Linked DNA regions of Anolis sagrei. The protein of the gene in region 1 purifies or fractionates together with the protein of each later gene. This does not show direct contact. Links are inferred from orthologs where the notes say so. Each region holds a gene or a part of one and is shown in the gene's direction. Other genes may lie near its edges.

Evidence for each region.
Region 2: the proteins of CUL5 (region 1) and RAB40C purify together in Homo sapiens (affinity purification with mass spectrometry; 5 studies listed by BioGRID and IntAct, counting the BioPlex papers as one, with this or other methods). This does not show direct contact. The link is inferred for Anolis sagrei from reciprocal best matches to the Homo sapiens genes CUL5 and RAB40C.
Region 3: the proteins of CUL5 (region 1) and WSB2 purify together in Homo sapiens (affinity purification with mass spectrometry; 3 studies listed by BioGRID and IntAct, counting the BioPlex papers as one, with this or other methods). This does not show direct contact. The link is inferred for Anolis sagrei from reciprocal best matches to the Homo sapiens genes CUL5 and WSB2.
Region 4: the proteins of CUL5 (region 1) and LRRC41 purify together in Homo sapiens (affinity purification with mass spectrometry; 3 studies listed by BioGRID and IntAct, counting the BioPlex papers as one, with this or other methods). This does not show direct contact. The link is inferred for Anolis sagrei from reciprocal best matches to the Homo sapiens genes CUL5 and LRRC41.

Annotation. Positions count from the first base shown.
Region 1 is NC_090023.1:26,179,018-26,186,961, forward strand, and holds the start of CUL5 (cullin-5), read left to right. Parts: upstream 1-4,838; 5' UTR 4,839-5,154; coding exon 5,155-5,178; intron 5,179-7,944. UniProt on the Homo sapiens protein: Core component of multiple cullin-5-RING E3 ubiquitin-protein ligase complexes (ECS complexes, also named CRL5 complexes), which mediate the ubiquitination and subsequent proteasomal degradation of target proteins.
Region 2 is NC_090034.1:27,645,448-27,653,535, forward strand, and holds the start of RAB40C (ras-related protein Rab-40C), read left to right. Parts: upstream 1-5,071; 5' UTR 5,072-5,185; intron 5,186-8,088. UniProt on the Homo sapiens protein: RAB40C small GTPase acts as substrate-recognition component of the ECS(RAB40C) E3 ubiquitin ligase complex which mediates the ubiquitination and subsequent proteasomal degradation of target proteins.
Region 3 is NC_090034.1:43,464,245-43,471,821, reverse strand, and holds the start of WSB2 (WD repeat and SOCS box-containing protein 2), read left to right. Parts: upstream 1-4,503; 5' UTR 4,504-4,591; coding exon 4,592-4,631; intron 4,632-7,577. UniProt on the Homo sapiens protein: May be a substrate-recognition component of a SCF-like ECS (Elongin-Cullin-SOCS-box protein) E3 ubiquitin ligase complex which mediates the ubiquitination and subsequent proteasomal degradation of target proteins.
Region 4 is NC_090024.1:178,395,649-178,403,039, forward strand, and holds the start of LRRC41 (leucine-rich repeat-containing protein 41), read left to right. Parts: upstream 1-4,204; 5' UTR 4,205-4,335; coding exon 4,336-4,444; intron 4,445-7,206; coding exon 7,207-7,293; intron 7,294-7,391. Other genes in the region: UQCRH (cytochrome b-c1 complex subunit 6, mitochondrial), read right to left, coding at 4,010-4,060. UniProt on the Homo sapiens protein: Probable substrate recognition component of an ECS (Elongin BC-CUL2/5-SOCS-box protein) E3 ubiquitin ligase complex which mediates the ubiquitination and subsequent proteasomal degradation of target proteins.

The DNA of each region.
Region 1 (7,944 bases):
GTCTTTAGCCTTCTGTGCCCAAGAGGGCTGGTGCCTCACCAAATCCCAAATCCCATTAGTATTGAGCCATGGGGGTTAAAGTGATGTTTAACTGCATTAATTCTACAGTGTAGATGCACCCTGTGTCAGTCTTCTTTGGCAAGATTAACTGAGAATGACTACATCTGTAGCTCAGAATATCTGGAGAAAACGAGACTGGAGAACCTTGCTTCAGACACCACCCCAAACTCAAATGCTACTTACTGGTACGTCCTGTAAACTCACCATCTCCTATCTGGCACTTTGTTGTGTGTGTGTTTAATCTGCCACTTTGCTTTGCAAACTTGTATACTATTTTCACATAGCTAGGGCATCTCTCCAGTATGTAGACACTGCATCCATACTTTTGGTGAGTGCCTTTCACTTCCAACACAATCCATTCTTGATTACAGGAAGTTGCATATATTGATATCAGCAACAAAGGTGCTATTAAGTAGCAAGATATTTTCTATCATACTCTTATTACCATTTTATTATCTACATGCTTTCTGGTCTTTACATTTTCAAAAAAAATTTAAATAAAGCTATGTAATGTGTACTCTATTCTGATGAGTCCTTGGTCTGATTTATGTAGCCCAAGAAGTGAATATTTCTTGAACTGGATTGAGAAAAACAATACATCTACACTCCGTTTTAGCTGCCATGGCTCAATGCTATGAAACACAAGCAGAAAGAGTGCTCATAATCAGACTTCTAGACCTAGATCACTTAGGCCCCGTCTCCATGTCACCTTTTGACATATGGAGACCTCGTGAATTTCATAGAGTTATCTTAGGCACAAAATATATAAGGTGCACCTACACCGTAAAATTAATATAGACAAACTGTAATGGTTTAATGCTATGGAACCATGGGAGTTGCAGTTCTACAAGGACTCTAGCCCACTTTGCCAATAGTGCTGGTACGTACAACTCCCATGACTCCACAGCATTGAGTCATGGCAGTTAAAATGGTAGCAAACTGCAATAATTCTACAGCGTAGGTACATTCACAGAGGTGATTTTTGCCAGTTCCTTCCTTGGAAATCGATAAGGTGGGCAAAAGTCACAAATAGTTTTCAATATTTCATAACTCCTTAATTTTTTTGTTTTGTAGGTTACAATATCATAGCATCACATGGAGTACATTACATGTAAAAAAATCTAATTGGGTAAATTATATCCAATACCATGGCATCATAATAGATAGAGTAGGCCAAAAGACACAAAGGAATTTCAATATTTAATAACATACATATGATACATCTGTATTATTGAAGGCTTTCACAGCTCGAATCACAGGGGTGTTGTGTGGTTTCCAGGCATTTTCTCCTGACTTTTCATCTGAATCTGTGGCTGGCATCTTCAGAGGATATGTTTATTTATTTATTATTTATTTACAACATTTGTATACCGTTTTTCTCACCCCGAAGGGGACTCAAAGCGGTTTCCACATAGGTAATGGCAAAATTCAATGCCAGCACAAACAATTACAATTGTACAATTACAGTTAGACATAAATCAAATTAAAATACATCCATAAACAGTAAAATTCTACAGTGTAGATGCACCCTGTGTGTGTATATGTGTGTACATGTATATACATCTAAACATACATAAATATATGTGTATATATGTATATGTATGTACTTGTATACACATATACACATTATACATATGTTTGTATACATGTGTGTACGTGTATATACATATACATATTATATATGTGTGTATATGTGTTTACATGTATATATTAACATTATACATATGTGTGCACATATGTGTGTACATGCATATACACATACACATTATACATGTTATGTGTGTCCATGTACACAGATATATATATATATATACATTATACACATACATGTATATGTGTATATATGTATACATGTGTGTATATTTGTGTTTATGTGTATATACATATAAGCATACATAAATATCTACATGTGAAACATTTACACACATACATACATATACACATACATAAATGTATATATGTGTGTACATGTATATACATATACACATACATAAATACATGTGTGCATGTATATACATACACACATTATACATATATGTGTATACATGTGTATAATGTACATATACACATTATACATAAATGTGTGTATATGTGTAGATGTATATACATACACTTTATACACATGTGTGTATACAAATATATGTGTGTACATGTATATACATATACACATTATATGCTTACTTACTTACTTACTTACTTACATACATAGGCGATCCCTCGTTGTCCGAGTAGGATTGTCTTCCAAGATCGGTGTATAAGCGGTGACTGTGGAGCCCTATTCTTGATCTGAATCTTCTCCCGCAGTGAGGGCATTGGTTTCCAAGTGGAAAGTGGTCCCAGTCAGGGTTGGCTTGGCAGGCCTTCCTTTTCACATGTTTCTCTCTTTTGCCCCTTCAGATTCTACAGCACTTCTGGTCACAGCTGACCTCCAGCCAGGGCTTCCCAGTTCTCAGTGTCTATGCCAGAGACATTATATGCATACAGATGTTGTTGTTCATTCGTTCAGTCGTCTCCGACTCTTCGTGACCTCATGGACCAGCCCACGCCAGAGCTCCCTGTTGGCCGTCACCACCCCCAGCTCCCTCAAGGTCAGTCCAGTCACTTCAAGGATGCCATCCATCCATCTTGCCCTTGGTTGGCCCCTCTTCCTTTTGCCTTCCACCTTCCCCAGCATAATTGTCTTCTCTAGGCTTTCCTGTCTCCTCATGATGTGGCCAAAGTACTTCAACTTTGTCTCTACTATCCTTCCCTCCAATGAGCAGCCGGGCTTTATTTCCTGAAATATGGACTGGTTGGATCTTCTCGCAGTCCAAGGCACTCTCAGCACTTTCCTCCAACACCACAGCTCAAAAGCATCGATCTTCCTTCGCTCAGCCTTCCCTAAGGTCCAGCTCTCACATCCGTAGGTGACTACAGGGAATACCATGGCTTTGACTAGGCGGATCTTTGTTGCCAGTCTGATGTCTCTACTCTTTACTATTTTATCGAGACTGGACATTGCTCTCCTCCCAAGAAGTAAGCGTCTTCTGATTTCCTGGCCACAATCTGCATCTGAAGTAATCTTTGCACCTAGAAATACAAAGTCTGTCACGGCCTCCACATTTTCTCCCTCTATTTTCCAGTTGTCAATCATTCTTGTTGCCATAATCTTGGTTTTTTTGATGTTTAGCTGCAACCCGCTTTTGCGCTTTCTTCTTTCACCGTGATTAGAAGGCTCCTCAGCTCCTCCTCGCTTTCGGCCATCAGAGTGGTGTCATCTGCATATCTGAGGTTGTTAATGTTTCTTCCAGCAATTTTCACCCCAGCTTTGCATTCATCCAGCCCCGCACATCGCATGATGTGTTCTGCATACAAGTTAAAAAGGTTGGATGAGAGTATGGACCAGTACAACCAGAGATATACATGTATACACATGTACATATACACTTCATACATAAATGTGTGTATATGTATGTACATGTATATACATACACACTTTATACACATATGTGTGTTTATACAAATATATGTGTGTACATGTATACACATATACACATTATATATGTTGTGTATATGTATGTACATGTATATACATACACACTTTATACACATATGTGTGTTTATACAAATATATGTGTGTACATGTATACACATATACACATTATATATGTTGCCAGTTGCGCCCGTACCTTGGGAAGTCTGACTTGGCCACGGTAGTCCACGCTCTGGTTACATCCCGGATTGATTACTGCAATGCGCTCTACGTGGGGTTGCCCTTGAAGACTGCCCGGAAGCTTCAGATGGTCCAGCGCTCGGCGGCCAGGTTGCTAACGGGAGCGGCACTCAGGGAGCATACCACTCCTCTGCTGAGCCAGCTCCACTGGCTGCCAATCCGCTACCGGGCACAATTCAAGGTGCTGGCTTTAGCCTATAAAGCCATAAACGGTTCTGGCCCTGCTTACCTCTCCGAACGCATCTCTACCTATGAACCGACCAGAACATTAAGATCGTCTGGGGAGGCCCTGCTCTCGATCCCGTCTGCGTCACAGGCGCGCTTGGCGGGGACGAGAGACAGGGCCTTCTCAGTGGTGGCCCCTCGGCTATGGAATGCCCTACTGGCAGACATCAGGCAGGCACCTTCGCTGCTGACGTTTCGGAGAATGGTTAAGACCTGGCTTTATGAACAAGCGTTTGGTTAAGCAGTGCAACCAATCATAGGAAGACGGTAAATGGAACATAGGAATGGCACAAGGATTATGAAAACGGATCTGATTTCAACTGAGGCGTTATGTTATGTTTGTCTTGTTGATCTGTCTTGTTGATTGTTAATTGTTGTGGATTGATGCTGTTGATCCTGTTTGTTGCATTGTTATGTTTTAATTGCACTGACACTGTTTGATACTTGTACCATGTAAACCGCATTGAGTCGCCTGTCAAGGGCTGAAAAAATGCGGTATAGAAAAAAAGCAAATAAAATAAATAAATAAATAAATAAATATGCATATAAATATAAATGTGTGTTATTATGTTTAAATACTGAAACCCCGTTGTGACTTTTGGCCCACCTTGTGAAACATCACCTGGTCCTTCTTGGCGGCCTCCCACCCAAGTACTGACCAAGGCTGACCCTGCTTAGCTTCCAAGAGCTTAGCGATGACGTCATCAGCGGGGAGGGAGGTTAAGGCAGAATTCTGCGAGGAAGAAGAAAAAAAGAGTGTCAGGATGACCTCCGGCCGGCAGGGGTCGCTGTGGTGGGAAGCCTCAGCGGCGCACACTCTCCCTCCCTCCCTCCCCTTCCCTCGGTGCGGCGGGGGCTTCCGGCTCTGGGGCGCCGCATCATGTGGGCTCTCGCGGAGCCGGGCCGCTGCGAGACGACGGCTCTCCTGCGAAGCCTCCTCCGTGAAAGAGGCCATGAGGCGCTGAGGGGGAAAGAGGAGGCGGAAGCTAGTGCCAGCCCCTGACCGAGCGGCGAAGCATGTAAAGGCAAAGGAAGAGAGGAAGCCGCCACCGCCGCCGCCGAAATCTCATCCGCCGCCGCCGCCGCCGGCCTGGTCAGGCCTCTCTTGTGCGCCTGCGCGGGCCCCCCTCCCCTTGCGTGCTGTGGAGGGGGGCAACATGGCGACGTCTAATCTCTTAAAGGTGAGAGGAGGAGGCGGCTGGGCCTGGAGGAGGGTTGAGAGGTTATTATGTGGAGAGGAGGAGGAAGAGAAGAGGGAAAGCCAAGAAGGGGAAGTGAGGAGGGAAGAAGAGAGGCTGTGTGTCTGTATGTAGATTATATCTATCTATATTTAAGTGCTGTGTTCGTTTTGGGTGACATCATAACTCAAAAACCGCTGGACTCATTGCCACCAAATTTGGCCACAAGGCACCTACTAACCCAAGGAGTGATCATCAGAATTGATTTTGTCACTTGGGAGTTGTAGTTGCTGCGATTTATAGTTCACCTACAATCAAAGAGCATTCTGAACCCCACCAACTATAGAACTGAGTCAAACTTATCACACAGGACTCTCCTGACCAACAGAAAACACTAGAAGGGTTTGGTGGGCATGGGCCTTGTATTTAGGATTTGTAGTTCACCTACATCCAGGGAACACTGTGGACTCAAACAATTAAGGATCTAGACCAAACTCCATATGCCAAATATGAACACAGATGGGGTTTGGGGAAAATAGACCTTGACATTTGGGAGTTGTAGTTACTGAGATTTAAAACACTAGAAGGGTTTGGTGGGCACTGGCCTTGAGTTTAGGAGTTGTGGTTCACCTACATCCAGGGAACACTGTGGACTCAAACAATTAAGGATCTAGACCAAACTCCATATGCCAAATATGAACACAGATGGGGTTTGGGGAAAATAGACCTTGACATTTGGGAGTTGTAGTTACTGAGATTTACAGTTCACCTAAAATCAAAGAGCATTCTGAACCCCACCAACTATAGAATTGAGCCAAACTTATCACTCAGCACTCCCATGACCAACAGAAAACACCAGAAGGGTTTGGTGGGCATGGATCTTGAGTTTAGGAGTTGTAGTTCACCTACATCCAGGGAACACTGTGGACTCAAACAATTAAGGATCTAGACCAAACTTGGCACGAATACTCCATATGCCAAATATGAACACAGATGGGGTTTGGGGAAAATAGACCTTGACATTTGGGAGTCATGAGATTTATAGTTCACCCACAATCAAAGAGTATTCTAAACTCCACCAACAATAGAATTGGGCCAAACTTGGCACACAGGCCAAGAGAAAACACTAGAAGGATCTGATGGCCCTTGAGTTTAGGAGTTGTAGTTCACCTACATCCAGAGAGCACTGTGGACTCAAACAATTAAGGATGTAGAACAAACCCGGCACACAGAACTCCCATGACCAACAGAAAATACAGGGAGGGTTTGGTGGGCTTGAATTTCAGAGTTGTAGTTCACCTACATCTAGAGAACACTGTGGACTTAAACAGTTAAGGATCTAGAGCAGTGGTTCTCAACCTGTGGGTCCCCAGATGTTTTGGCCTTCAACTCCCAGAAATCCTAACAGCTGGTAACTGGCTGGGATTTCTGGGAGTTGTAGGCCAAAACACCTGGGGACCCACAGGTTGAGAACCACTGATCTAGAGGGTTTGGTGGGCATGGACCTTGAATTTAAGAGTTGTAGTTTACCTACATCCAGAGAACACTGTGGACTCAAAACAGTTAAGAATCTAGACCAAGCTTGGCATGAATACTCCATATGCCAAATATGAACACAGATGGGGTTGGGGGAAAATAGATCTTGACATTTGGGAGTTGTCATTACTGAGATTTATGGTTCACATACAATCAAAGAGCATTCTGAACCCCACCAACGATAGAATCGGGCCAAACTTCCCACACAGAACCTCCATGACCAGCAGAAAATACTGTGTTTTCTGGTGGTCTTTGGCAACCCTTCTAACGCCCCCTTGTGACCCCCCCCCCCAGGGTCCCTACCCCCAGGTTGAGAAATGCTGCCTTAAGGCCATCCACTCCCAACTTCCTTCAAGAAAACATAATCAAAGCCCTCCTGATAAAGAGCCATTAAGCCATAGATACAGATAAGGTATATATGATTCACACACACAAATATGTATGTATATGACAGATATAGTATATATTTGAAAGGGAATCCTTAAAGAAGGACAATTATATGTTGCTTGTTCCAGAGTAGGCAGTCCAGACAATCTCCACATCAACACTGACAAAGAAACAACAAGAAATACTGTTTACCCACAAGCATAAAGAAATTGCATCAACCAACACTTTCTCCCTACTTTATTTTCCAGCTCACCAGACTGGGCCACAGCAACATGTGGCAGGGGATGGCTATATGTAGAGATCTGTGCTTGGGCTGAGGCCTCTTCCACACAGCTATATTCAATCTCACATTGAACTGGAATATGTCAGGGTGGACTTAGATAACCCAGTCCAAGGCAGACATTGTAGATTATCTGCCTTGATGTTTTGGGTTGTATGTCTGTGTAGAAGGGCCCTGAGCCCACACTGCCATATAATCCATTTCAGTGTGGATTTTATACAACTGCATGGAAGGATCCTGAGATAATTCTGATACATTGAAGTTCTTAGAATCATAGAGTTGGAAGAGACCTCGTGGGCCATCCAGTCCAACCCGCTATCAAGAAGCAGGAAAAATCACATTCAAAGCACCCCTGACAGATGGCCATCCAGCCTCTGTTTAAAAGCCACCAAAGAAGGAGCCACCACCACATTTTGGGGCAGAGAGTTCCACTGCTCTCACAGTCAGGAAGGTCTTCTTCGTGTTCAGGTAGAATCTCCTTTCCTGTAGTTCGAAGCCATTGTTCCACATCCTAGTCTCCAGGGTAGCAGAAAACAAGATTGCTCCCTCCTCCCTATGACTTCCCC
Region 2 (8,088 bases), on another chromosome or scaffold:
AACAACAAACATTGAACCATGTGTTGTCTCTAAATACAATCTATCCAGGTTTTTATTTTATATTTTTTCCATTTTTAAGAAATAATAAATACATTATACAAATCATACACAACGAACATTAACACAAAACATACAATAAATCATTTACACAATCATATTTTTTATACATCTAATCTTTACGTGCACCCACCACCACCCATGGGATATATATTCATCCTTAATGTTAATCATTCTTATATTGACCTCTTCTCCAAAATGCCAGTGTATGTTGGTTTTATTCCTTTTTCTTTGTAGGTTGTGCTTCTTCATCAGCTTCCCTATGTGGTCAGTGATTCCCTTGATATATGGGAAGAACACTTTTCGCTCATGGCTTCTTCTTGGTCTTGCAGCTCTTCTTATGTCTGGTGGAGTCTCTATTGGCCTGTAGAGCCCAGCTTAGGTGGTTCAGTTTAAACTCTAAAATCAAAACAGTAAATAAAGAACAACACTAAAAAACAGGGGCCAGCTAATCAGTCAGACCTTGAAGCTGCAAGGTCATTTAATGCTAATCAAGGTGGCCAATTGCAACATTCACACCTGCCTCAAACAGACAATAATTATTTCTCCCATCCTGGGCATCATTCTACAGATATACAGGGTTAGTCAAAATGCATAGGCCAATAAGCCATTTGTATAATCCCTCCTTGCCTAGTTTCTAACAAACCTCACAACCTCTGAGGATGCCTGCCATAGATGCAGGCAAAACATCAGGAGAGAATGCTTCTGGAACATGGCTATGCAGCCTGGAAAACTCACAGCAACCCAATAACAAAATTCATTTATTTAAATAATAATAATAATAATAATAATAATAATAATAATAATAAGGTTCCATGTGCAAACTGAAAAATATTCCTCTCGTTTCTCTGTCGGTCTCAAGGAAGGGATAAAACTATGGCACAATCTAATCCATTTCTGTACAAGATGCTAATACGCCCGGCGTTCCACAGAGCACCATCTGCACAACATGAAAGAAAGACCCTTCCCCATTCTGTGCATTGGGGCCAAGATGATAAGTCACAAGACAATCCTTTTACGCGAGGGATGGGCTTTCAAACAAGGGACATCTGGCAATCCTACTGGGGAATTTCCCCTGCTGTCATTGTCATCACCATCACCATCATCATCTTTTGTTCAGGCAGCAGTTGTGGCTTCCCATGTGCTGCGCAAAGAGATTGGCAGCCATGAGAATCCCTGGATTCGTGTCCCCCGTCTCTTTTTTCTTTTGAGGCTTCTGATAGATAGATAGATAGATAGATAGATAGATAGATAGATAGATAGATAGATAGATAGATAGACAGATAGATAGCAGGCAGGCTAGCTTGGGTACACAGGTTATTTGAAAAAAGTCGATTTTTATGTTTAGAAATATCAGTTTAATAATTTGCTTTTTATGATTGCTTCCATTAGAAAAAGCATAATCATAAAATCATAGAGCTGGAAGAGACCTCGTGGCCCATCCAGTCCAACCCCCTGTGAGGAAGCAGGAAAATCGCTTTCAAAGCACCCCCGACAGATAGCCATCCAGCCTCTGTTTAAAAGCCTCCAAAGAAGGAGCCTCAACCATGCTCCGGGGCAGAGAGTTCCACTGTTGAACAGATCTCACAGTCAGGAAGTTTATTTATTTATTTATTTCAGGCACTTCTACCCCGCCCTTCTCAACCCCCAAGGGGGGACTCAGGGCGGCGTTCTTCCTTATGTTCAGATGGAATCGCCTTTCTTGCAGTTTGAAACCATAGTCTCCAGAGCAGCAGAAAACAAGCCTGCTCCCTCCTCCCTATGACTTCCTCTCATATATTTGATACATGGACGTGGGTGAACCACAACTCCCATATTCCAAGGTCAATCACCTCCAAACCCTGACAGTATTCCTAGGTGGCCATGTTGGGTGAGTCAAGTTTGGTTCAGATTTGTCGTTGGCTGGTTTCAGTACTCTCCAGAGGTGGGTGAACTACAACTCCCAGATTCCAAGGTCAATCACTCCCAAACCCCACCAGTGCTCACAGTTGGCCATGTTGGATCTGTGTGCCAAGTATGATCCACATGTTGTCATTTGCGTTTGCAATACTCTTTGGATGTAGGTGAACTACAACTCACCCAACTCAAAGTCAATTCCCCCCAAAACCACTCCTGTGTGTTCTGTTGGCCATGGGGTTTCTGTGTGCCAAGATTGGTCCAGATCCATTGTTGGTGGGAGTTACAGTGCTCCCTGAAAGTTGGGGCCTTCTTGGAAAATACATACAAACACTGGGATTTATTGGGCAGGTGCCCGGGTTATTAGAAGAAGGCATTGTTTGTTTTGGGATGTTAGGTAATATCACTTAAGTTTGGTGGAGCTCCCACTGGCACAATGAGTTAAAGCCTTGTGCTGGCAGGACTGCTGACGGAAAGGTCGGCAGGTCGAATCTGGGGAGCGGGGTGAGCTCCCATTGGTCACCTCCAGCTTCTCATACAGGAACATGATAGAAGCCTCCCACAGGATGGAAACACATCCGGATGTCCCCTGGGCAATGTCCTTGCAGACAGCTGATTCTCTCATATCAGAAGCAACTTGCAGTTTCTCAAGTTGCTCCTGACATTAAAAAAAACCCAAAACTTTAAATTTGATCCACATCCATTGTTGGCTGGGTTCCATGCTCTCTGGATGAGGGTGAACTACAACTCCTGGATTCCTAGGGCAATCACTTCCAAACCTTGACAGTATTTATTTATTATTTATTTACAGCATTTCTGCCCTGCTTTTCTCACTCCCGCAGGGGGACTCAGAGCGGCTAACAAAGGCAACAATTCAATGCTGCAATAATTACAATAATAAAGCAAAATAAAATCATACAGTACGATACATTAAAACAGCATTAGTTATCCAATCATAAAGGCATTTCCATTGTAACAACCGTCTGGTCCAATTCACTGTTCTGGTGCCGTTAAATCCATTAGCCAAAAGCCTGGTTCCACAACCACGTCTTCAGTTTTCTTCTGAAAGAAAGGAGGGAGGCCGCTGATCTAATTTCGCTGGGGAGTGAATTCCACAGGCAGCGAGGTCACCACCAAGAAGACCCTGTCCATCATCCCCACCAGTCACATTAGCGAAGCTGGTGGGACCGAAAGCAGGGCCTCCCCAGCAGATCTTAAGACTACGAGGCGGAACATATTCGCACTTGGCCATGTTGGGTCTGTGTGCCAAGCTTGGTCCGGATCCATCGTTGGCTGAGTTTAGTGCTCTCTGGATACAACTCCCAAATTCCCTGGGCAATTGCCCCCAAACCCCGTCTGTATGCATAGTTGGCTCTGTTGGGTCTGTGCACCAAGTTTGGTCCAGATCTGACGTTGCCTCTGTTCAGTACTTTCTGGATGCAGGTGAACTACAACTCCTCAAACCAAGCTCAATTCCCACAAACCCCTGAGTATGTTCACTTGGTCATGGCGCTTCTCTGTGTCATGTTTGGTTCCTGTCAACTGTTGATGGGGGTCACTGTTTCGCTGGATGAAGGTGAACTGCAACTTGCGAAATGAAGGTCAATTCCCACAAACCCCTGCAGTATGTTCAGCTGGTCATGGGGCTTCTGTGTGCCAAGTTTGGTCCAAGTCCATTGTCAGTGGGGGCCATTGTTTCTCTGGATGCAAGTGAACTACAACTCCCAAAAACAAGGTCAAGTCCCACAAAGCCCAACACTGAGTTGTCTTGGGGCTTCTCTGTGCCAAGTTTGGTCCTGGTCCATTGTTGGTGGGGGGTCATTGTTCTTCTGAATGTAGGTGAACTACAACTCCCAAAATGAAGATCAATTCCCACAAATCCCTGCAGTATTTTCTGTTGGTCAAGGGGCTTCTCTGTGCCAAGTTTGGTCCTGGTCCATTTTCGGTGGGGGTCACCAGATGTAGGTGAACTATAACTCCCAAAATGAAGGCCAATTCCCACAAATCCCTGCAGTATGTTCAGTTGGTCATGGGGCTTCTCTGTGCCAAGTTTGGTCCTGGTCCATTGTCGGTGGGGGTCACTCTTTCTCTGGATGCAGGTGAACTAGAACTCCTGTAAATCAAGGTCATTTCTAATAAAAGATACATTAATCACACATTATGAAATGCACATTCATACACACACAGAGAGACATATATATACATATACAGTCAGGTATGTCTGTCTGTTTGTACAAAAAGCTGTTGCTAGGTGACAATCCGGTGGTTTTTTACGATGTCACTGGCTTGGCCGTTGCTAGGTGAAGTGACCCTCTGTCATGACCCAAGATCAGCCGTTGCTAGGTGAAGTTGTCTTCCTCTACGTCACTGGGGAAGGAAAGGGGCCTGTGTGTATGGAGAGGCCAGAGGGAGAGCCCTGTTGCCATGGAGACGCCATGAGGAAGGAAGGAACTCTTCCTCCCCTTCCCAACATGCTTTGTCTTATTTCACGCTCAGCGTCAGCGCACCAAGGCCGCGCGCTGCATGCCGGGACGAGTAGTCTATGGTCCCTCCCCTTCTCTCTCTCTCTCTCTGTCTCTGCCTTCTCTCCCCGCTCACCAATCCTTCGCGGCTCGTGATTGGGCGCGTCAGCCTGAGAGGGCGGGATCAAACGTCTTCAGGCTGAGTGACATTTCCCAGGCCTTTCCCTTCTCTCTCGCTTTTTCCCCGCCCGCCGTTCCTGAGTGGAGGAACCCCCCTGAGGAGGCGGGAAGTAGAAAAAAAACACAAGGAAAAGCGGACTGACTGATATGCGGAGCAGCCTATAAGAGGGCCGTTCTTCCTTGCGTTTTCCCCGCCCGCCGCTTGTCATTGGAGGCGCACTTGAGGAGGCGCGAGAGAGAACAAACACAAGGAAGGATGGGATGACTGACGTGCAGACGAGCCTATGGAAGTGCCGCTCTCCTTTACTTTTTCCACGGCTGCCGCTCCTGATTGGATGGGGCACCTGTGGAGGCTGGAGAGAGAAAAAATACACAAGGTAGGGCGGTTTGACTGACGTGCGGGGGAACCTGTGGGAGGGCGACTCTCGCTTGCATTTCCCTGCCCACCGCTCATCATTGCTGATTGACGTGTAGGGAAGCCTATGGGAGGACGCCGTAGCCGCTGCGTTGGCTCGTTCGTGCAGGAGCCGAGCGCGGCCGACTCAGAGAAGAAGGAGGAGGAAGCAGGAAGGAAACAGGCAGGCGGGCAGGTGAGGCCTAGACGGGAGGGGATTGACATCTGTCGGGAGGGTTCTGATCGTGACCTCGCCGAATGGGCCCCGGCCCGGGTCTTTTCTTATTTATTTATTTATTCAGGCAGGCCATGCTGGGTGGGTTTTTGGTTTAGTTTTGAATGCGGATTTTAAGGGGTTTTTAAAAATGTAATGCCAATGATAATTAAACCTGATATGAATGCTTGTAGATTTTATTAAAATTGTATTGAAAGATCTTCAATAATAATAATTTATAATGGCCAAAGAGATACAGGGAATTTAAGAATAATTATAATGATGATAATATATAACATAATAATAATAATAATAATAATAATAATGACCCTTGGGGTTGTAAGAGGTTGCCAAAACCAGAAATACAAGGAACATAATAAAAATGATGTTATTAATCTATAAATATTATATATTTGTAATATATGATATTGCAATAATTATAATAAGAATAAGCCTAAGAGTAAGCATAATGGCGAGATGTGATTGCCAAAAGCAGAGCTACAGGGAATATTATAATAATATAATAATAGTAATATTCCAAGTTAATAGTATATTACATAATAATAATAATCGCACTAATGGCCATTGAGATCTCTTCCTTGGGGATAAGAGATTGGCAAAAGCAGAGCTACAGGGAATAGAATAATAATAGTAGTAGAAATAATAATAGTAATAATGGCAATTGGGGTCTCTTCCTTGGGATTCAAAGAGATTGGCAAAAGCAGAGCTATAGGGAATATAATAATAATATATTATAATAATATAATAGTAATAATGGCCCTTGATGTCTCTTCCTTGGGATTGTAAGAGATTGCCAAAGAACTACAGAGAATGATGATGATGATGATGATGATAATGGCCGCCAGCATTTGGAAACAATAAACATTGACAAAGTCACACTCTGTCACCTGCAAAAGGCCAGCTTACTTGGAGCTGTGCGCATTATTCGAAAATACATCACACAGTTCTAGACACTTGGGAAGTGTTCAACTTGTGATTTTTGATGCAAAATCCAGCATATATATCTCGTTTGCTGTGTTTTTGTGTCAGTAAAATAATAATAATAATAATAATAATAATAATAATAATAATGGCTGTTGTGGTCTCTTTCTTGGGGTTGTAGGAGGTTGCCAAAAGCAGATCAACAGGGTTAAACCGCTGTTGAATTAAAGGGAGTCAGGCTGGATTCGCTCTGCCATATAATCAAGTTCAACGCAGATAATAATCCTCAGAGACGGTTCTAGAGATGGGATTATATGGCAGTGTAACTGGAGCTTCACTTGTCAGCATAGGGTGACCCCATGGATTTCATATGGTTTTCCTAAGCAAGGAGGAATGCTTGTGTTGCGGGTTCCTGCATGGAAGAATAACCTGATTGGGTGGCCCTTAAGATCCCTTCCAACTCTGTTGATTCTGAGATACTGCTAAAAACAGAGCTACGGTTTATTAAACCACCGTTGAATTAAAGGAAGTTCAAATGCATTTAGAGATCACCGTCATACCTCTCAACAAGATTGATTCTTTTAAAGATTCAGATTGCAGGAATATATAGTAATAATAATAATAATAATAATAATAATAACAATAATAACTATATTTATATTCCTCTCTATCTCCCCGGAGGGACTCAGAAAGAGAGGATTCCACCTAAATATAGAATCATAGAGTTGGAAGAGACCACATGGACCATCTAGTCCAACCCCCTAAGAGGTTGGTCATCCGTTGGGAATGTTTTGATTGTGTATTGCTACTTGACACAATAAGATTGGGCTGAATGGCCTTTGGGGTTATTTTCAATGCTAGGATTCTAAGATAATTGCTAAAAAAAACAAGAGCTACAGGGTTAAACCACCTTTTGAATTAAAGGGAGTTCAAATGTACCTCAATCATTGTTTCCCATCCCTTCCAACAATATTGATATTTTTTATTTTGGAAATATTCAGATTGCAAGAAAAGAGGATCCCACCTAAAAATCAGGAAGAACGTGTAATATGCCAGTCCAGTGGAGTCTCCTTCTCTGGAGGTCTTTAAATAGAGGCTTGATGCCCATCTGTTGGGAGTGTTTGAATTATACATTTCCTGCAGGGCAGAATAAGCTTGGACTGGATGACCCATTTCTTCCTACTCTAGGATCCTAAGATATTGCTAAAAACAGAGCTACTGAATTAAATCACAGTTGAATTAAAGGGAGTTCAAATGCACTTCAGTGGTGGCTGAATTAAAGTTAGATCAACTGTACTTCAATCCTTGCTTTCAGTCCTCTTGGTCCTAGTCTCTTCCAACTCTTGTGTTTCTATGCATAAGAGTGCTCACTCATTAAGGCCCCATTTACACTGACCATTTAATGCTAGCTTCAAACTCTGGGCATCCAAAAACAAACTCCCACAGAAGTGTGTGAGAGAAAGTCCTGAATGTGCATTAGTGCTCTGTGATTTGTGACATCGCCTCCGGACTTCAAACTGGTCCTAGGATTTCTGATGCAATACTCTGTACCGTGAAACTACTTTCTTGAGTACTTGATTGAAAACTGCATAAAATGGCCAGTATAGATGGAGTCAAAGCGTCCAGGTTTGGCTGCCAAATAAGGGATCTGAGCCCCTAGTGCCATAACTTTTGTATGGTTGTGCCTCTGGGAAGCACCTTGTAAGCAAAAACAACTTACAAATCAGGAAGTCCCAGGTAATGATCTGGCCTCTCCCATAAATAAACCCAGTATCTGGTTTTAGCTAAACTGCACTCTCTTCTCAGTCTCCCTCTGCATCACAGGGAGGGAATAATAATCTCACTTGCCATGCAATCAGCTGTGATATACATATCATTTTGGAAGTGTTGCTTAATAAGTGTTAAGTAACATTGTTAAACTGCTATTCTTCCCCCCTTCTTCT
Region 3 (7,577 bases), on another chromosome or scaffold:
GTGTTATTCCTGTTTAATTGCAGTCCGTACTTTGAAAGTCATTGTTCTACTCCAGAAACTTCGTTTTTGTGGCTGCTGCAAACTATGTTGAATTGGTTGAGACTCGATGAGATATTCATTGAAAAACTATAGCAACAAGTTCTCTAGCAGGATGTCCCACAGAAACAAAGGTTTTGCAGTTGAATAAATGTTTCCCATGTTTCTATGAAAGAGCCAATTAGGAAATGACATTTCTAACCCAGAAACAAAAATTGTGTTGCAAAGTGTTGTTATGATTACTCGCCTCTCCTTATCCAGCATCTACCAATCCCCCTTGGGTGCCAGTTAACCTGAGAGTCTACTGTAATAACTGGAAGCTAACAAATGTATCTCATATGAGTGACTTGCAACTATAAACAGCATTATTCCCTACATCTGCTATTTGCTCTCAGCCATGTACTCGGGGATTGAGCACAAATGGAAAATAACAAAAATGAAAGCCAGTCCTGTGGGTCTTTCATACATGGACATTGACAGGCATTTGTATGTGATGCGTAAGCATCTCTGTTTAGAGCTGCCTTGGCTTTGCTATGCAATCGAGGCCATTGTGCAGGAAGGCGTCTTGCTTTAGTAGCACCTTGCCATTCAGCACCCGAGTTGCCATGGGCAGACGCCACGCTTTGCAGCCTTGATGGAGGACCTTGTTCCCAAAGCCTGACTCATCCAAACAACGCTCACAGGAAGAGCGGTGGGGAGACAAAAGCACCTGCACAGGAGGCTCTCTTTTTGTTAACCCATGGCTTCCCATGAGATTGAGTGGTAGATGCTGGGGAACGGGCATTTCTGGATGCTTGAGAGTCACTCTTTAAAATAGGCTTAACTCAGACTGTGCCATACTAGTATAAACTCTGTATTGACTTGTGGTTCATATTGAAAGACAATCCCTAAAAGCCAAGGAGGACAAACTCAATGCAATGCAACCATCTTTTACAGCTTTTGATTTAAAGGATTCTTGGATCGATTTTTTGCCGGTTGCTTGAGTTCCAGTCAACAGAGAGTCTACTGTGCGATCTGGTCAGTGAGCTTTGGCATTCCCATTTGCATTTGGACTTCCTGCTTCAAGAAACTATCCCTAAATATAGTCTCTCTTTGGTGAGCTCTGGGTGTGTCTGCACTGTTGAATGGATGCCATGGAATCTGGGATTCTGTCCTTTGGTGAAGGCCTTGTGAAACTATAACTCCCACCATTCCAAAGCATTGAGCCAAAGCAGGGAAAGGAGTGTCAAATTGCACAGAGATTGCCAAATTTATATATTTGGGCCTCGTTTGTATTTTTGGTTAGTAACTTGGAAGAAGTTACCTCAGGCCAGCAGTATTTTTTCAACCAGTTTTTTGTAAATTAATAAAAAAAAGACTTGTATAGGTTGGTTTGTTGTTTTCCTGTTGAAAACATGGGCTAGGACACTGAGGTGCTGAAGGGAACGTGCAAATCTATTGTTGTTTATTTGTTCAGTTGCTTCCAACTCTTCATGACCTCCTGGCCCAGCCCACACCAGAGCTGTCTGTCTGCCATGGGTGCCCCAGCTCCTTCAAGGTCGAGTCAATCCCTTCAAGGATGACATCCCTCCATCTTGCCCTTGATCCGCCCTTCTTCCTTTTTCCTTCCATTTTCCCCAGCATTATTCTCTTCTCCAAGCTTTCCTGTCTTCTCATTACTACTGGGAATAACACTGCTTTAACTATGCTGGACCTTCGTTGCCAGTGTGATATCTCTACTCTTAACTCTTTTATTGAGATTGGTCATTGCTCTCCTTCCAAGCAATGACCAAAATCGATAAAATAGTGAAGAGTAGACACATCACACTGACAACAAAGATCCGCATAGTTAAAGCAATGGTATTCCCTGTAGTCACCTACGGATGTGAGAGCTGGACCATAGGGAAGGCTGAGCAAAGGAAGAGAGATGCTTTTGAACTGTGGTGTTGGAGGAAAGTCCTGAGAGTGCCTTGGACCGCGAGAAGATCAAACCAGTCCATACTTCAAGAAATAAAGCCTGACTGTTCATTGGAGGGAAGGATATTAGAAGCAAAGATAAAGTATTTTGGCTACATAATGAGAAGACAGGAAAGCTTAGAGAAGACAATGATGCTGGGGAAAATGGAAAGAAAAAGGAAGAGGGCCAACCAAGGGCAAGATGGATGGATGTTATCCTTGAAGGGACTGGCTTGACCTTGAAGGAGCTGGGGGTGGTGATGGCCAACAGGGAGATCTGACGTGGGCTGGTCCATGAGGTCATGAAGAGTCGGAAGTGACTGAATGAATGAACAACAACAACAACAACTCCCAAGAAGGAAATGTCTTCTGATTTCCCAGCTGCATTCCACATTTGCAGTAATTTTCGCACCTAGAAATACAGTCTTTCACGGCCTCCACGTTTTCTCCCTCTATTTGCCAGTTATCAATCAGTCTGGTTGCCATCATCTTGGTTTTTTTTAAATATTTAGCTGCAATCCAGCCTTTGCACTTTTTTCTTTCACCTTGGTTAGAAGGCTCCTCAGCTCCACCTCACTTTCAGCCATCAAAGGGGCATCATCTGCATATCTAAGATTGTTAATGTTTTTTCCAGCAATTTTAACTCCAGCCTTGGATTCATCAAGCCACACACATCGCATGATGTGTTCTGCATACAAGTTGAATAGGTTGGGTAAAAGTATACAGCCCTGCCATACTCCTTTCCCAATCCTGAACCAGTCGGTTGTTCCATTGCCTGTTCTTACCGTTGCTACTTGTTCTTTATACAGATTCCTCAGGAGACAGACAAAATGACTTGGTATCCCCACACACCAAGAACATGCTACAATTTATTGTGATACACACAGTCAAAGGCTTTAGAATAGTCAATAAAACAGAAATAGATGTTTTTCTGAACTCCCTGCCTTTCTCAATTATCCAGCGGATATTGGCAATTTGGTCTCTCCTTCCTCTGCCTTTCCTAATCCCAGCTTGTACATCTGGCAACTCTCTCTCCATGTATTGATGGAGTCTACCGTGCAGGATCTTGAGCATCACCTTACTGGCATGTGAAATAAGTGCCACTGCACAAAAGTTTGGGCATGCTTCAGTGTTTCCCTTTTTGATATGGGGAGATAAGTTGATTTTTTCCCCAATCCGATGGCCATTCTTGTGTTTTCCATATTTGCTGGCATATGGCATGCAACACCTTGATAGCATCATCTTTCAAGAGTTTAAACAGCCTCTTCAAATTCTACAGCACTGCTGGTCACAGCTGACCTCCAGCTGGAGCACTCAAGGGCCAGGGCTTCCAAGTTCTCAGTGTCTTTGCCAGTTTTTAAGGTTGGCTTTGAGCCCATCATTCAATCTGTTTTCTTGCCCACCAACATTCTGTTTTCCATTCTTGAGTTCGGAGTAGAGCAACTGATTTGGGAGATGGTGGCCAGTCCAGCGGAGCTGATGGCGGAGGACCATCACTTCACTGCTGGTGATCTTTGCTTCTTCCAGAACGCTGACATTTGTCCGCTTGTCTTCCCAAGAGATTTGCAGCATTTTCTGGAGTTGCATGTGACATCTGTAGACTGTCCACGCCTCGCAAGCGTATAGCAGGATTGGGAGGACAATAGCTTTATAAACAAGAACGTTGGTATCCCTATGGATGTCCCGGTCCTCAATCACTCTCTGCTTCATTCGGGAAAATGCTGCAGTCGCAGAGCTCAAGCAGTGTTGTATTTCGGTGTCGATGTTGGCTTTTGTGGAGAGATGGCTGCTAAGGTAGCGGAAATGGTCAACATTTTCTAATGTTACACCATTAAGCTGTATTTCTGGCATTGGAGAGGGATTGGCTGGTGACTGCTAGAAGAGCACTTTGGTTTTCTTGATGTTCAATGACAGACCAAGCTTCTCATATGCTTCTGCAAAGGTGTTTAGACTGGCGAGTAGGTCTTATTCTGAATGCGCACAGATGATGTTGTCGTCAGCATATTGGAGTGCTACAACAGATGTTGTTGTGACCTTGGTTTTGTCTTTCAGTCTGCTGAGGTTAAACAGCTTGCCATCTGTCCAATAGATGATTTCCACTCCGGTGGGACGCTTCCCATCAACAAGATGAGGTATCATTGCGATGAAGATGGGAAATAAGGTTGGGGCAGTAACACATCCCTGTTTGACACCTGATTCCACCTTAAATGGGTCACTTTGGGAGCCATTGCTGTCCAAGACTGTTGCCATCATGTCATCATGGAGGATGTTCACAAATTTGTTTGGGCACCTGAGAGGGAAGGCGCCTTCTGTTTCTCAGAAGGAAGGCAAGAAGAGGGAAGAGAGGGCGAAGAGGACTGGGAGGCAGGTAGGCCAGGAAGAGAAAAAAGGCGGGAAAAGCGCCCAGAGCCCAACGCGCATGCGCTGCCCTAGGACAAAGGTGCCACTGGAACCCCTGTCCGGCCTATGCTGACAGCCCCGCCCTCTCCTCAAACCACGCCCACCTAGCCTCCTCGGCAATTAGCCCCTCCCCGGCCGAGGAGGGATCACGTGACCCCCAAGAAGAGGAAAAGGAAGTGTCCCCGGCGCCGGCTCTGCTGTGTTTTCTGATGCGGTCCGGATGGAGGGGAGGCCGGCGCCTCAGGGAGAGGAAGCGGAGGGTGAGCCGTTCTGCCAAGCCTCGCGCCTCCTCTGCCCGAGCAGGCCGCCCACTGCTGCTCCCACCCTGCCCTAGCAGGCGCCTTGGCCATGGAAGCTGCCCTTCAGGCCCAGGCCCCTGCCACACCGCCCAATACCGCCCCACATTCTCTGCTTGGAACTGCGATATATGGCCGTGGGGACTCAGATAATCCCGTCCAAAGGATAGATTGCGGGATTTATTTATTTCGTATCAAAAGCATTTCATAAATTAGTATAAAAACGATAAGAAAAATAGAAGGAGCGCAGGTGGCTAAATAAAACGGGCAACAGCAACGGCATTGTCGGTAGCCCCCAACAATTCTTCCTCAGTACATGAGGCAGGGCAGAGTGGGCAAGCATACAGATGCGGGGATGTCTGCTCTGCTCCACAGTCACACAAGGTGTGGGATTCTTTTAGGTAGTGCCCTGTTGCCAGGTTGTCTTTTGATCTGCCCACTCCAGTCTGTGCAGGGACTTCCAGGTTGCTCATTCTTGGTTTGCCCCTGGAGGAAGACCCTCGTGAGGGCCATCCGGTTGGGATTTTTCGATTTAGCTGCCCAGAGGGATACCCTTGCTGTTGCTGGGGGAACGCCAAGAGGAGTGGTAGTTCTCATAAAGCTTTTCCTTGATCTGAGTCTACTGCAGTGGTTCTCAACCTTCCTAATGCCGCGGCCCCTTAATACAGTTCCTCATGTTGTGGTGACCCCCAACCATAACATTGTTTTTGTTGCTCCTTCATAACTGTCATTTTACTACTGTTATAAATCATAATGTAAATATCAGAAATGGAAGATGTATTTTCATTCACTGGACCAAACTGGGCACAAATACCCAATGCAACCACATGTAAATGCTAGTGGGGTTGGGGGAGGATTGATTTTTGTAATTTGGGAGTTGTAGTTGCTGGGATTTATAGTTCACCTATAATCAAAGAGCATTCTGAACTCCACCAGCAATGGATTTGAACCTTATTTGCCACACAGAACTCCCATGACCAACGGAAAACACTGGAAGGGTTTGGTGGGTTTGGGAGTTGTAGTTCACCTATATCCGGAGAGCACTGTGGACTCACACAATGGTGGATCTGGACCAAACTTGGACAAACACTCAATATGTGCAAATGTGAACACTGGTGGAGCTTGGGGAAAATAGACCTTGACTTTTGGGAGTTGTCGTTGCTGGAATTTATAGTTCATTGCAATCAAAGAACATTCTGAACTCCACCAACGATAGAATTGGCTCAAACTTCCCACATGGAATCCCCATGACCATCAGAAAATACTGTGTTTTCTGATTGTCTTTGGCGACCCCTCTGACACCCCTTCGCGACCCCCTCAGGGGTCCCGACCCCCAGGTTGAGAAACACTGGTCTACTGGGAGGAGGCTGGTAACCATGTAGTGAATGGCTTTCACGGTGTACGACCTTATTTCTCTCACATTTAGCAGCAACTTCCCGCTGCACATGGGGGGGGGGGATGCCAGCTAGCTTGTAGAGTTTATCAACAGGTATAGGTTTAAGACATCCTGTGATTATTCTGCATGTTTTGTTCAATGCTATGTTCACCTGCTTTGCATGGGCAGACCTATGCCAAACAGGGCAGGCATACTCAGCAGTTGAGTAGGAAAAGGCCAGGGCTGATGTTTTTATTAATTTTGGGTCTGCACCCCATGTGCTGCCAGTATGTTTCCCCAGGATGTTATTGCATGCAGCTACTTTGTGCTTGGTGTTCAAGCAGTGTTTCCTATATGCTAGTGTTCGATCTAAGGTGACACCGAGATATTTAGGATGGAAATAATGTTCAAGCTCTTGACCTTCCCAGGTGACTTTTTTTAAACAATTGTGGGATTATCTGACTTGATATTCTGGGTGATATGGCTGTGTGGAAGGGCCCATCCATGCACATTAAACTGCACTATATGGCAGTGTGGACTCAGATAATCCAGTTCAAAGCATATCTTGTGGATTATCTGCCTTGATATTCTGGATGATATGACTGTGTGGACAGGGCCCTGGGTTACCTGAGTGGCCTTCCACACAGCCATATATATAACCCAGAATATCAAGGCAGATAATCCACAAGGTTTGCTTTGAACTGGGTTATCTGTGTCCACACTGCCATATCATCCAGTTCAATGTGGGTGTTACACAGCAGTGTGAATGGGGCCTCAGGAAGCCCATTGGGGATTTGGGGTTTTGGATTTCCACATGAGGGATACTCCACCTTTCACAATTATTTATCGTATCAGGAGCAAATCTGTAATGTATTTAAAAAACACAGTTTTAAAAAACTTGGCATTATACTAAATGTCCTTTCACCAGTAACTGGCCATTTGGAGTGCCTCTGGTGTTGCCTATAAGGAGGTCCTCCATTGTGCATGTGGCAGGGCTCAGGTTGCATTGCAGCAGGTGGTCAGTGGTTTGCTCTTCTCCACACTCGCATGTTGTGGACTCCACTTTGTGGCCCCATTTGTTAAGGTTGGCTCTGCATCTCGTGGCGCCAGAGCGCAGTCTGTTCAGTGCCTTCCAAATTGCACGGTCGTCTGTGTGCGTAGAAATGAGTCTCTCATTTGGTATCAGCCACTGATTGAGGTGCTGGGTTTTAGCCTGCCACTTTTGGACTCTTGCTTGCTGAGGTGTTCCTGTGAGTATCTCCGTAGATCTTAGAAAACTATTTCTTGATTTAAGGCATTAACGTGCAGGCTGATATCCAAACAGGGGATGGTCCAGAGATGTCATTCCCTTAGTCCTTTCATTATTGGCTGATACTTCCCGGTGGATGTCAGGTGGCGCAATACTGGTTATACAGTGTAATTTCTCCAGTGGTGTAGGGCACAGACAGCCCGTGATAATACAGCATGTCTCATTAAGAGCTATATCCACTGTTTTAGTGTGATGAGATGTGTTCCACACTGGACATGCATATTCA
Region 4 (7,391 bases), on another chromosome or scaffold:
GTGGTACTTGTCTCAAATTTAAGCAAGTTGATTTTCAAAACCAATATGAAATTCACAGTTTTATAGGCCAGGCTGTAAGTAGGAACCTAACCTGAGATATAATACAAATATAAGGGCCCTCAAAATCGTGTGAATTAAATCAGAAGAAAAACAAAGATAAACAGAATCAGCATTGAAGGGGATATTGCATAGAATGTTTTTTTCAAAGTACATGTAAAGGTATACTAAGTACTACAGATATAAAGTCATAACTCTTCTAGGAAATACAATTTAAAGTGTGCCCCATAAAATAGTAATGGTAGATCTGTTTGAAGATCAGATCATACAGGTTCACACACAAAAGAAGTTAACATCTCTATGAAAAGTGGGACAGGGGAGGGCATGATAAATACAGTAATTGTGAAACTAGAATGCTTTAATATAAAAAAGAGAAGGTAGCAAAGCAAGTAGTGATGAAATAGCTAATATAAATTCAATAAAACAACACAGAAATTGTTTAGAATATTTATATGCAGATTTCAGTGAAGCATTTTGTCTCCTGCCATGACCAGTTCTAGGGGGGCTAGCTAATGCACATGTCTATTTATGTATGAATGTAAATTGGTTTGTCTCTGTCTAAGGCTTATCCCCAAAATCATCCCAATCTACTAGTGAAAGAATCAGAAACAGTCACCAAAGGCATCTACACTGTAGAATTGACGCAAGTTTGAGTCCACTTTAACTACCGTGTCTCAATGCAATGGAATCATGAGACTTTTCATTTTACAATGTCTTTATTCTTCTCTTCCAATGAGCGCAGTCATCTTAACTAGGCTATGACAGTTAAGCTGGTGTAGAAATGTACTAATTCTACAGTGTGGATGCAACTGTTGATAACACACTCCTATACACATAGTTCCCAGGAAGTAAGGGCTCTTCCAGACATGCCCTATATCCTAGGATCTGATCCCAGGTTTTCTGCTTTAAAATAGATTATATGTGTCTCCACTGCCAGATAATACAGGATAAACAGCAAAACAGTAAACCTAGGATATAGGGCCTGTCTGGAAAGGCCCCTAGTCTCTTAGGGCTGAAAGAATCATTGATTTTTTGCTCTGAGTAAGTAATTTTAGATAGAGGAGGAGTAGAAGTGAGCATCATAATCAGTGGGAGGACAAATCAATCCAGTGTGTTCATTGAACACTGAAGGAGAATAGGATATACTCTTATGTAAGGGGGGGGGGTCGTCAAAGTATACTAAATCCACTAAAACCTATATGATCTTGGAAGCTAAGCAGGGTATGCCTGGATTAGCAGGTGGAGAGGAAATCAACAAATGCCTGGTGCTGCAGATTATATTTCAGAAGAAAGAAATGACAAAGCACCTCTGAGTCTTTGGGTGCATGTATAACTAATGAAGTTTGTCACCACTTTAATTGCCCATGGTTCAATGCTATGGATTCATTGGAGTTGTAGTTTTGCAATGTCTTTAGCCTTCTCTAATATGTATTTAATGTATTAGAAGCCAACTGAGGTTACAGTTGTATTTTAAAAAGACACAAAGTTTAGAAACTTGGCATTATATTAACTGTCCGTTGACCAGTGGCTGGCCACTTGGGAGTGCCTCTGGTGTTGCTGACCTTCATTGTGAATGTGGCAGGGCTCTGACTGCATTGTAATAGGTGGTTTGCACTTCTACACACTTGCATGTCATAGACTCAACTTCTTAAGGTTAGCTCTGCATCTCGTGGTGCCTTCCAAATTGCCCAGTCTTCTGTGTGCCCAGGGGGAATCTCTCATTCGGTCTCAGCCATGGCTTGAGGCAAGGGTTTTCACCTGTGACTTTTGGACTCTCGCTTGCTGAGGTGTTCCTGCGAGTATCTGTAGATCTTAGAAGACTATTTCTTGATTTAAGGCATTGGCACGCTGGCTGATATCCAAACAGAGGATGAGCCAGAGATGTCACTGCCTTGGTCCGTTCATTATTGGCTGCTGGAAAGCAAACAAAAGCAAACTATTCTATGATTTCCTAGTATGCAATGAGGGCAGTTAAAGTGGGGCCAAACTGAATCACTTCTACTGTATAGATCAGGCATGGGCATACTTGGGCCCTCTGGTAGTTTTCATAGAATCAGAGAATTGGAAGAGACCTCATGGGCCATCCAGTCCAACCCTCTGCCAAGAAGAACAAAAATTGCATTCAAAGCACCCCTGACAGATGGCCATCCAGCCTCTATTTAAAAGCCTCCAAAGAAGGAGCCTCCACCACACTCTGGGGCAGAGAGTTCCACTGCTGAACAGCTCGCAGTGTCAGAACTTCTTCCTATTTATTATTTATTTATTTATTTGATGCACTTATTAACCGCCATTCTCAGCCCATAAGGGCGACTCATGGCGGTGTACAGTACACATAAAAGACAATTACAAAAAAGCCAGTTTCAACAACATATAAACTATACAACAATTACAGACTACACTAAAAATCCGCTTCGTCTCTTAGTGGAATCATAGCCAGTCTCATATTCCTTGTTCCATTCCAGTTCTCATTACCGTATTGTTTAGCACTTAATTAAATGCCCTCTCGAACAGCCATGTCTTAAGGCTTTTTCGAAAGGACATGAGGGAAGGCGCCTGTCTGATGTGTGCAGGGAGAGTGTTCCACAGCCGGGGGGCCACCACCGAGAAGGCCCTCTCCCTCGTCCCCGCCAGCCGTGCCTGTGAGGCAGGCGGGATCGAGAGAAGGGCCTCCCCAGACGATCTCAAGGTCCTCGTGGGCTCATAGGCCAAGATGCGGTCGGAAAGGTATTTGGGGCCGGAACCGTTTAGGGCTTTGTAGGCCAAAACCAGCACCTTGAATTGGGTCCGGTAGCAAATCGGCAGCCAGTGGAGCTGGGACAACAAAGGCGTTGTGTGCTCCCTGCCACCCGCTCCAGTTAGTAACATGGCTGCCGCGCGCTGAACCAGCTGAAGCTTCCGGGCCGTCTTCAAGGGCAGCCCCACGTAGAGAGCGTTGCAGTAGTCCAGGCGGGATGTGACAAGAGCGTGTACCACCGTGGCCAAGTCAGACTTCCCGAGATACGGGCGCAGCTGGCGCACGAGCCTGAGCTGTGCAAATGCTCCCCTGGTCACCGCTGAAACCTGGGGGTCCAGGCTCAACGATGAGTCCAGGGTCACACCCAAGCTGCGAACCTGCGCCTTCAAGGGGAGTGCGACCCCGTCCAGCACAGGCTGTAACCCTATACCCTGTTCGGCCTTGCGACTGACCAGGAGTACCTCTGTCTTGTCTGGATTTAGTTTCAGTTTGTTCGCCCTCATCCAGACCGTTACAGCGGCCAGGCACCGGTTCAGGACCTCAACAGCCTCCTTAGTAGCAGGTGGGAAGGAGTGACAGAGTTGGACATCATCTGCGTACAGATGACACCGCACCCCGAAACTCCGGATGATCATTGATTCCTAATGATCAGATGGAATCTCCTTTCTTGTAGTTTGAAGCCATAGTTCCTAGTCTCCAGGGCAGCAGAAAACAAGCTTGCTCCCTCCTCCCTGTGGCTTTCTCTCACATATTTATACATGGCTATCATATCTCCACTCAGCCTTCTCTCCTTCAGGCTAAACATGCCCAGCTCCTTAAGCCGCTCCTCATAGAGCTTGTTCTCCAGACCCTTGATCATTTTAGTCGCCCTCCTCTGGACACATTCTAGCTTGTCAATATCTCTCTTCAATTGTGGTGTCTTGAAAGGCTGTTAGGAATTGTGGGAGTTGAAGTCCAAAACCCCTGGAGAGCCCAAGTTTGCCCATAGCTGGTATAGATGCACTCTTCCTTGCTGAAGAAAATCCTGTAAAAACCATGGGGTGAGGATAACGTTGTATAGGAAGGGAGGCAAGGAGGAGAACAAGGAAGCAGAGGGAGGCCAAAGGGTGGCCAAGGCAAGGGAGGGGGACTCTCAGAGAAGGAAATAAAAGGCTCGGCGTTCCCTGAAGTGAAAAGATAGGCCTCGCTCCTTCTCGACTGGGAGAAAGTGGGGCTTACCTCCGGGTCCCCGCTCCGTCCCTCCAGCGCGGCCTCATCCTGCCTCCCCATCTTGAATTGAAGCCTCAGAAGGACGCCCAAGGGTCATCCCACGCACGCTCCAACGGATATCCCGCCCTATCCGAGTGCCGCTTCCGGTCGACCTTCAGGTGGCTCCTCCCCCTTCCCGACTCCGCAGGCGTTGGTGGGAGCGTTCGACTCTACCAAGATGGCCGACCTCCTCAATATGGCGGCCGCATCACGCCTCCACCTAACAATGAGGGACCCTCCCAAGATGGCGTCATCCAGCCAAGTTCTTCCAGGAGGTTGCTGTCGCCTGGGCGATCATGGAGGCCGAGTCTGAGGAGGAGACTGAGCGAGGGCCTCTCAGCCTTTTTGAGCTCAGTGGGAAGAGAGTCAGCTCCATCATGGGACGCGTGGAGAAAGAGGTTTGGGGTAAGAAGAGGAAAAAAGGACAAAATAATACACACAGGATGCATCTGTATCAGGCCTGGGCAAACTTGGGCCCTCCCTCCAGGTGTTTTGGATTTCAACTTCCACAATTCCTAACAGCCTGTAGGCTGTTAGGAATTGTGGGAATTGAAGTCCAAAACACCTGGAGGGAGGGCCCAAGTTTGCCCAGGCCTGATCTATATTGTGGAATTAATGCAGTTTAACACCACTTTAACCCCCATGGCTCTGGAATCCATGGGAATTGTATTCTAGTGAGACCCCAGCCCTTTTTTTGGCAGAAAGAGCTACAGATCTTGTGAAACTACAGCTCCCAAAGGTTTCAGCATTGAGTCATGGCAATGGTCCCAAACTGCATTCATTCATTCATTCATTCAGTGTAGAACTAAACTATCATAAGGCAACTTCTTTCTCATCTTTTGAAATTCATCAAAGGACGTTGAGAGATCCCCTGGAGATTTTGCCAGGTGGATTCGGCCTCCACCACACCAGGCCTCAATACCCTAAATTCACCACATCCTACCTAATCTTGGAAACTAAGCAGAGTCACCTCTAGTTGGTATTTGGGTGGGAGTCCCCCAACAAATACCAAGTTATTGTCGAAGGCTTTCATGGCCGGAATCACTGGGTTGTTGTAGGTTTTTCGGGCTATATGGCCATGTTTTAGAGGCATTTTCTCCTGACGTTTCACCTGCATCTATGGCAAGCATCCTCAGAGGTAGTGAGGTCTGTTGGAAGTAGGAAAATGTAGGAAGTAGGAAAAGTAGCAAAAGTCCTTTGTCCCACCCTGGTCATTCTACAGATATATAAACCCATTTTCCTACTTCCAACAGACCTCACTACCTCTGAGGATGCTTGCCAAAGATGCAGGCGAAACGTCATGAGAAAATGCCTCTAGAACATGGCCATATAGCCCGGAAAAACCTACAACCCAAACACCAAGTTATATTTCAGAGGAAGGAATGGGCAAAACTACTTTTGGGGGATTATTTGCCAAATGAAATCCATTCAAAAATCATGTTGTTGACAGGTGCCATGAAGGTAAAGACAGTACAGTCATCCCTCCCTATTTGCACAGGGCTCCTGTGACAATAGGAAACTGCAAATGAAGAAGTTGTTTTCTTTTTTTACCTGAGAGAACATCTCTCTACGAATTTTTGTGTCTTCCAGCTTGACTCTGTAGTCAACCTCTGCAGGAAGATTACCACAGAATTGCATTGGAAAAACTAGAGTGCATCTGCACTGTAGAATTAAGTCCCACCCATGGAATAAAAGTGGGATAAAAATGAATAAACAACCACAACAAATGTAGTTTGACACCATTTAACAACCATGGCTCAATGCTCTGGAATTGTGTGAGGTGTGATTCCGTGAAGTCTTTTGGCTTCTCTGCCAAAGAGTGCTAGTGCATCACCAAAACTACAACTCCCAGGATTCCATGGCATTGAACCATAGCTGTTTAAGGGGTGTCAAACTGCATCAATTCTACAATATGGATGCAGCCTTCGAGAGGTGATCTCCCTATAAATCTCTAGGCCTTTCAGCATGATTGTGGAGGAAGTTGATCAGAAACAGCAGTGAACCTAAAGAGTTCCAGACCCCTTTCACACAGATGTATAAAATCCACATTGAACTGGATTATCCAGCAGTGTAGACTCAGATATCTGAGCGCCCTTCCATACAACAATATAATACAGAATATCAAGGCAGACATTCCCACAATATCTGCTCTGAACGGGTTCATCTGAGTCCTCACTGCCATGTATTCCAGTTCAAAGCAGATAATGTGGGATTTTATTTAGTTATGTGGAAGGGGCCCCAGTTCAAAGCAGATATTGTGGATTATTTGTCTTGATATTCTGAGTTATATGGCTGTATGGAAGGAGCCCTAGAGAACATTTACAATCTAATCTATGAATAGTCAAATCTGCAAAAGTCAGAACCACAAAATGGTTAGGACGACTATATGATCCCAACCGATATATGCAGTTTCACTTATCCATGGTCTCCCTTATTTTCTTAGGGCCTCTTGTACAAACCACAGCCTCATCTCACTTTCTCTGTTGTTTGTCCCATTGACAATAATAGGGTTCGTTTTTATCCACAGTTTGGAATCCACACAAAATCCTAGAACATATCTCCCATGGATATGGGATCATGCATGTGTACTCTTTTTCAAAGGATGTTTATTTATACAGTATGTCCTTAAGCAGGGGTCCTCAAACTAAGGTCCGGGGGCCGGATACAGCCCTCCAAGGTCATTTACCCGGCCCTCGTTCAGGGTCAACTTAAGTCTGAAATGACTTGAAAGCGCGCAACAACAACAACAACAACAACAACAACAACACAACACTCCTATCTCACCAGCCAATAGCAGGCCCACACTTCCCATTGAAATACTAATATGTTTATATTTGTTAAAATTGTTCTTCATTTTAATTGCATTGTTTTTAAGTGTTTTCTGCACTACAAATAAGATATGTGCAGTGTGCACAGGAATTTATTCATTTTTTTTTTCAAATTATAATCCGGCCCTGCAACAGTTTGAGGGACTGTGACCTGGCCCTCTGTTTAAAAAGTTTGTGGACCCCTGTCCTAAAGAGTTAAATTATGTTAGACACAATGAAAGAGATTTTCACAAGGGTGAAAATGCAAATGCATCTGTATCTGGTTTTGTTTTTTGTTGTTTTTTGTTGTTTTTTTTGTGTCAGTGACTGAACTTTGGCTTTGTCTACTCTCCACAAAAGCACTTCCGGGTCCAGTACTCCAGGGCATCTTGCCTCTCCTTAACATTTACTATCTGGAGCGAATTGAAGCGACTGCTGTGAAGAAAGGTCAGTTATTTTGGAAGATGTACTAGAGGAAGGATAAATAATGTTCAACACTATAGTTCCTGATGAAATAGGCTTCCTCATTTTAGATTTCAAAATTG